2 linked regions of the Rattus norvegicus genome follow. The protein of the gene in region 1 interacts with the protein of each later gene in a pairwise test. Links are inferred from orthologs where the notes say so. Each region holds a gene or a part of one and is shown in the gene's direction. Other genes may lie near its edges.

What was found.
Region 2: the proteins of Ap3d1 (region 1) and Vamp7 interact in a two-hybrid assay, tested with the Homo sapiens proteins (2 studies listed by BioGRID and IntAct). The link is inferred for Rattus norvegicus from reciprocal best matches to the Homo sapiens genes AP3D1 and VAMP7.

The regions. Positions count from the first base shown.
Region 1 is NC_086025.1:9,641,495-9,644,994, forward strand, and holds part of Ap3d1 (AP-3 complex subunit delta-1), read left to right. Parts: intron 1-1,155; coding exon 1,156-1,301; intron 1,302-1,585; coding exon 1,586-1,965; intron 1,966-2,974; coding exon 2,975-3,206; intron 3,207-3,500. UniProt on the Homo sapiens protein: Part of the AP-3 complex, an adaptor-related complex which is not clathrin-associated. The complex is associated with the Golgi region as well as more peripheral structures.
Region 2 is NC_086030.1:21,840,956-21,845,027, forward strand, and holds the start of Vamp7 (vesicle-associated membrane protein 7), read left to right. Parts: upstream 1-1,272; 5' UTR 1,273-1,421; intron 1,422-4,072. UniProt on the Homo sapiens protein: Involved in the targeting and/or fusion of transport vesicles to their target membrane during transport of proteins from the early endosome to the lysosome. Required for heterotypic fusion of late endosomes with lysosomes and homotypic lysosomal fusion.

The DNA.
Region 1 (3,500 bases):
ACTTAAACCTGCTCCAAAATGGGGGCTGTGTCAATGTCATCTGCTGCTTACCAGACCAAGTGGCAGGCTGTTACAGTCTACCATGTTCCAGTCCTTACCTTAGAGCCAGGCCTGACAGACTTCCTCATAGGGCCCGGGGCTCACATCCCCACTCCACACCCCAACCTCTCATCTCCATGCTGTTGGAAAGCATCTCTGGGCCACCTGTTGATGAGTGACTATCTCAAAACCTGTCACAAGTGAGGCTTCAGGTGCACAGGCGTCCTCTGTGGTTCCTGCTTCAGCCTCTCCCTTCACTTCTCATGAGGCCTGCACTGGGCCAGCAGCCACTGTCATTTTGGCTGGCAATGACCTTTAGAGCTTGTGGGCAGGGTCCTCAGACATGCCATCTTTGGGGTTCTGTTCTTTTCTGGTTTTGTTTTTTTTTGTTATATTTTTGTTTGTTTGTTTGTTTTAAATTTTGCTTATTTGATGTCTGTGAGCACACTGTAGCTGTCTTCAGACACACCAGAAGAGGGCATCAGATCCGATTATAGATGGTTGTGAGCCACCATGTGGTTGCTGGGAATTGAACTCAGGACCTCTGGAAGACCAGTTAGTGCTCTTAACCACCGAGCCATCTCTCCAGCCCTTGGGGTTCTTTTCTTTATTTTTTTCTTTTCCTTATTTGGCTCTTCTGGAACTTACTCTGTAGACTAGGCTGGCCTAAACTCAGAGATCCCCCTGCCTCTGCCTCCTGAGTGCTGGGATGAAAGGTGTACAACACTAATCGCAGCAGGGTTCTTTTTATTTTTATATGTGTATTTTTAAATTATTTGTAAGTTTTTGTCAGTCATAGTTATGTAGGTGGGTGTGTGCTTGGGAAGGCCGGTGCCTGTGGAGATGGAGGTTTATAATGTTCCGGAGCTGGATTTACAATCCTGTTCCTCCAGTTTCCAGAAGGCTGTGCCTGTAGACCATGCTGTGAGAGGTTGGGGTACATGGCCTCCACATCGGCTTCCTGGGGTGAGGTGGGGCTCACAAAAATGGCCATTAGCTGCAGGCAGCACTAGCTAGGACCTCAGAGGCTAGAAATGGTGACATACCCCTGGTGCAGCCATGGATCATAGTGTTCCACGTGCTGTCCCCAAACTAATGGCCACTTGGTCTTCACAGTAAAGTACCTGGGGCTGCTGGCCATGTCTAAAATCCTGAAGACACATCCCAAGTCTGTGCAATCCCACAAGGACCTGATCCTGCAGTGCCTGGATGACAAAGACGAGTCCATCCGCCTGCGTGCCCTTGACCTGCTCTATGGAATGGTCTGTGTCCCTGTGGCCAGCATGGGGGCCTGTGAAACTTAAGTACTTGGGTCATTCATTCCTGCCCAGGCTGGGATAGCAGCTTGAGCCTGCTACGGTCAGCCGATGGCACCTGTCCAGGCTATAAGGAATGGGACTGGGTACCCAGTACAAGAGTGTCTTGTCACTCTCCCTTAGTTAGATACAATTCTGCTGTTTGGGGAGGAAGCCATCCCTCTTGGGCTCATGAGTTCCATCTTGGCTGTCAGTATTCATGGCTGGTCGTGTCTGCCGTGCTCCCACAGGTGTCCAAAAAGAACCTGATGGAAATTGTGAAGAAGCTTATGACCCACGTGGACAAGGCCGAGGGCACCACCTATCGTGACGAGCTGCTCACCAAGATCATTGACATCTGTAGCCAGTCCAACTACCAGCACATCACCAACTTCGAGTGGTACATCAGCATCCTTGTGGAGCTGACAAGACTGGAGGGCACCCGGCATGGTCACCTCATTGCTGCACAGATGCTGGACGTGGCCATTCGGGTCAAGGCCATTCGAAAATTTGCTGTGTCCCAGATGTCTTCGCTGCTTGATAGTGCCCACCTGGTAGCCAGCAGCACCCAACGCAACGGCATCTGTGAGGTGCTCTATGCTGCTGCCTGGATCTGCGGGGAGTTCTCGGAGTGAGTCGGTGCGGCCCTCGGAGGTGGCCTGGTGGGGGGACATGTGGGCAGTTTGCCCGATATGATCAGTTCTGGGCAGCTCTGCCCAAGTGATTATCTGTCTTCTTCCATGGAGTAGCTTGGCCAATTTGGGTCACACTGGCTGTGGGAAGTGCCCTCTAGACCATGAAGCAGATCTGTTCTGCTTTGGGTGACTTCCAAGCTGGGCAAGTTGCCACCCTCAGAGCCAGGCCTCAGCATACAGTGCTGAGAGTGAGCCTGTCCCCACTGCTCTCCTAGAGCTCCAGGACTATTAAGGTGGGTAGGCCGGATTCCACCTTGCACACTTGCCCAGAGGACACATGACAGCTGTGACCCACACAGGTGTGCATTTGTTGTCAAGTGGTAAACTCTGCCTGTCACAGAAGTCTCCTGGGGAGCACATCTCTCTGGGAAAAAAACCCACAATTGGCCCAGCACCTCCCTTGCCCCAGAGCTCAGCCCATGGAGGCTGCGTATAAGTTGCTCTTTGAGGACCCAGGGCGAGCTTCCTCTGAACCCCACAGGGCAGCACAACACAAGGATGCCAGGAGAAGTTATTTGGTTTTTGTGGTGCTAGAAATTGAACCCAGGGACTCGTTTATATCAGGCAAATGTTCATTACCAGGAACAAATCAATGGCCGTGTGTCGGCCATATAAGTCACATGGGTTCCCTGCCTTCTGTGTCTACTAGTGGTGGTCACATCTTTGCCATTGTTGCTTAAACAACGCCCCTTTGTAAAATTCATGGTTCTTAGGGTTGGGGATTTAGCTCAGTGGCCCTGGGTTTGGTCCCCAGCTCCAAAAAAAAAAAAAAAAGAAAAAGAAAAAAATTCATGGTTCTTGGTTCCCCGCTTCTGTACAGTGAGAGCAGGTGCCCGAGGTTGTGCTTTAGCTGAGAAGCCCAGCTCTCACGTAGCCTGGCCTGACTGACTTGTGAGATGGGCCTGTGGGCATGCTCGGTACCCTCATGCAGCCCCTGTCCCCCAGGCACCTACAGGGGCCCCAGCAAACCCTGGAGGCCATGCTGCGGCCCAAGGTCACCACACTGCCCGGCCACATCCAGGCTGTGTATGTGCAGAACGTGGTAAAGCTGTACGCGTCCATCCTGCAGCAGAAGGAGCAGGCTGCCGACACTGAGGGGGCACAGGAGGTCACCCAGCTACTAGTGGAGCGGCTGCCACAGTTTGTGCAGAGCGCCGACCTGGAGGTGCAGGAGCGGGTAAGGCTGCCAACTGGGGATTCTACTCACAGCTGAGACTAACCTGGCAGTGGCCGTGGCTCATGCCCTATGGGTACTTCAGGGCTGGCATGTGTCCGGCAGTAGTACAGGGATGCCCACCCATGCTCCAGAGGTCCTCCAGTCAGGTAGCCTCCTAAAGGTTCCACAGCTCCCTGCACAGCACCTTGAACCCCAGTGGTGTTACCAAGGACACTCTGGGGATACCCTGAGCCCCTTTCCAGGTCCTTGTCCCCAACAGAGCCAGTAGATGGGAGAGAGTTTCTCCTTTTTCCA
Region 2 (4,072 bases), on another chromosome or scaffold:
AATTGTAGATTAAGATTTAGATACCGAAGCTATCCAGTTAACACCAGGCCTCAAGAGTATTGTCTGGGCTTCCTAAATCCATGAGAATCATCAACCTGTGGGTGACAACCTTACCGTGGGGATGGCTGATGTAACCAAGAAGTTTGAGAAGAATAAGAAAAAAGTGCAGGGCAAGGGTCTGTGCAATGTGAAAACTGCAGAAGGAAATGAGGCGGCGGCGATGCGGGAGGCAAACCTTGCGGATGCAGCAATGGCTGTACAGTACTTTCTGTAGCAACCTTGTGAGGATTCTGTATGAAATGGTGAAGCTGGAGAACGGCCTCTCGAGTTTGTGTGTGGCGAGGAGGTTGGAGGTGTGGAGTTGGAAAGGAGACTTTGGAATGTTTTAAGTAAGAGAAAACTCCAGGGTTGGTAACACAGAGTCAGGAGGCAGAGTTTGCTGGGCTGGGGGTTGGGGGCAGAGAGCCCAGCAGACACAGGTCACACAAAAGTAGCTGCCGCTGAGTGTTGTTGCTGCCGCTGCTGTTATTTTTGCTGCCAAAGCATGGGAGAAATGATTGGTGAGGCACACAGTGAAGTTTACAGTAACGGGAAGGTTTTTTATCTTGACTATGGTAGCATTTCAGAGTTACACACAGACACACACACAGACACACACAGACACATACACAGACACAAACATACACACAGCACACACACTCACAAACACACACATTCACACACACACAGAAACACAGACACAGACACAAACACATACACACAGACACACACTCACAAACACACACATTCACATACAGACAGACACACAGAGACACACAGACACAAACACATACACACACAGACACACACACTCACTCACAAACACACACATTCACACACACAGACACACATGCACAGACACACACACATTCACATACACTCACACACAGACAGACACACACACTCACATACACTCACACACAAACACATACACTCAAACACACACAGAGACACACACATTCACACACACAAACACACACACACACACACACACACACACACACACACACACACACACTGCTTGTGTTGTCTTGCATCTTCTCGTTTCCTGGGATCACAGTACAGCGTTCAATGTTGTATATGAGTTGTTGATACGACCTAATTCAGACGCGGCGCCATTACACTCAGAACTACAACTCCCAGCGTTCAGTGCGGGTCCTGGGAAGTGCGGGGGGTGGGAACGCCTCGGATCCCGACCTCTACTCTGCTCCCATTGGAGGAGAGCTCATGTTCCCAGGAGGCCACGCGTAGGCGGGGCGCTTTACCCGGAAGCTTGCAGCCTCGGGTCCCGTCCATCTCTTGTTTCAGGCAGTGGACGACCCTGGGGGGACCCGCGCCCATCAGTCCGGAGCGCGAGTGCCCGCTAGGGGGTACCCGGCCAGGTAACTGGAATGGGATGAGAGGGAGGGAGGCTAAGGTGGGATACGGGTGGCTTTGGTTTCTCTGGTGTCTAATTTTCGAGCAGATCCAGTTTGGGCAAAGTGTGTTTTCACACTGCTGTGGAGTCTCGGGTTGGTGTCACAGCGTGTCCTTTAAGTTGTCATCACAGGGTGCAAAGATGTTGTTTCTCTCGTTTGCGTTCTGCAGACTTCTATAGCCAAAAAAAAAAAAAAAAAAAAAAACAACAACAACAACAACAACAAAAAAAAACCTCTTGTCACCCATGTTCACCGATATCACTTCCTGCTTCATGTTTTCCCTTTGCTTGTTGGTGCTTCATTGTGAGTTCCTATGCCCCCCACCTTACAACCTTAACAAATATATATTCAGGATTATCTTCCAAAAATCAATTTTTCTATAAATATTTTCTGTGTCTTTATATTTTCAGGATTATTTTTCAAAAGTCATCAATTTTTCTATAAATATTTTCTGTGTCTTTAGTATTTTGAGGATTATTTTTAAAAAAATCTATCCTAGAGGGATCTCCACTCAAACCTATTGTCTGAGCATGTTACTGGGTTTTTTTCCTTGATGGCCAATATTTACCAAGTTGATCGTGATCTTGGCTCTTTGGCTAATATGGCTCTGACTCTCATAACCAATGAATTATCAAGTTTTTTCCTTTGGATTTTATACTCTGATTTGTATCACCATTCCCTTTGGAAAATTTCTTTCCCTTTGAATAACTACGTCTGGAAGCCATGGACTTAACATGTATTTATTAAAGAATGAATCCATACTGGGCGCTCCCTTAAGTGCATGGAATACATTGGTAGCAAACAAGGAGGTGACTAGTATAGGAACTTACATGTTTGGGGAACTGGGATAAATAGGAATAATACATCAATATGGTGGTGTGTGTTGGTAAAAGCAAAACTTAGAAGGTTTTACAGAAAAAAAATCCTATCCTGACCAAGTGAGAGAGATATAGTTGGACTTCAGATCATTTTTCAGGAACAACACTTGTGATAGCAACAAGAGTAATCTTAGTTGATAGCCACACTTTTCATAAACATTCTCCCTCCTTTCAAATTGTCTGGCTTGCTATCAGTTCTAAGGTTATTGCATCACAATATGTGGTTTATTTGCCATTGACTTATTTCCTGCTGAGTCTCTCTGTCTCTGGCTTTTACTGCTGTGAACAGACACCATGACCAAGGCACCTCTTAGAAGACAACATTTAATTGGGGCTGGCTTACAGGTTCAGAGGTTCAGTTCATTATCATCAAGGCGGGAACATGGCAGCATCCAGGCAGGCACCGTGCAGGAGAAGCTGAGAGGTCTACATCTTGTTCCAAAGGCAAGCAGGAGAAGACTGACTTCCAGGCAGCTAGAATGAGGGTATTAAAGCCCACACCCACAGTGACACACTTCCTCCAACAAGGCCACACCTCCTAATAGTGCCACTCCCCAGCCCAAGTATATACAAACCACCACAGTCTCAGAGTAAAGAGTTGGCGATTGAATAACTATCAATGAACTATGTTACCTGAATTAAAGAGAGAGTTTGATATTAAAAATAAATACTCAGAGACACAGCCAGAATACAGCAAATACATAGGCGAATGCCAGCAGCAAACCACTGAACTGAGAACGGGACCCCCGTTGAAGGAATCAGAGAAAGGACTGGAAGAGCTTGAAGGAACTTGAGACCCCATATGAACAACAATGCCAACCAACCAGAGCTTCCAGGGACTAAGCCACTACCCAAAGACTATACATGGACTGACCCTGGGCTCCAACCTCATAGGTAGCAATGAATAGCCTAATAAGAGCACCAGTGGAAGGGGAAGCCCTTGGTCCTGCCAAGACTGAACCCCCAGTGAACATGATTGTTGGGGGGAGGGCAGTAATGGGGGGAGGATGGGGAGGGGAACACCCATAAGGAAGGGGAGGGGTTAGGGGGATGTTGGCTCGGAAACCGGGAAAGGGAATAACAATCGAAATGTAAATAAATACTCAAGTTAATAAAAATAAATAAATAAATACATACATACATACATACTCCTTTTAACAGGTTCTGTATAATATAAAGTTATCTCCCAGTTACAGTATTTTCAGTGCACCCAGTGTTCACTTAACTGTTCAATAAATATTCCTTGTCAGGTATCGTGCTGAGAATTGGGAGGCTAAGAGTAAAGCAAAGTTTAACCTCTTTTAAGGAGAAATGTTAACAATATACTGAGGAAAATGCTGACAGATTGGTACCTACTCATTCCTTTCTTTTAGAATCATATGTCTTATCTAATTTGATCAATTGTGATTATTCATATATTATTCATTCTTTATACTTCATTGCATGTTTTAAAGTCTGCCTCCCTTTGTGTTATGATTCCCTTAGTAGGCGTCCTCTCTTCCTGAGTTTCATATCTCCATTGTCCACTGCTTTGGCCATCCTATCCAGGCTGAGCTTGAAATCACTTTACTGCCAAGACTCACCCTGAACTCTTGATATTCCTGCCTCTGCTTCCCAAGTGTTAGTATCACAAGTGTACACAACTACATCCAACTACAACAGTTTTCTCTAAATCCAAAAACCATAGTCGATTGCCTCATAGCTATAAGGATGAGTCTCTAATATCAGTGAGAAAAA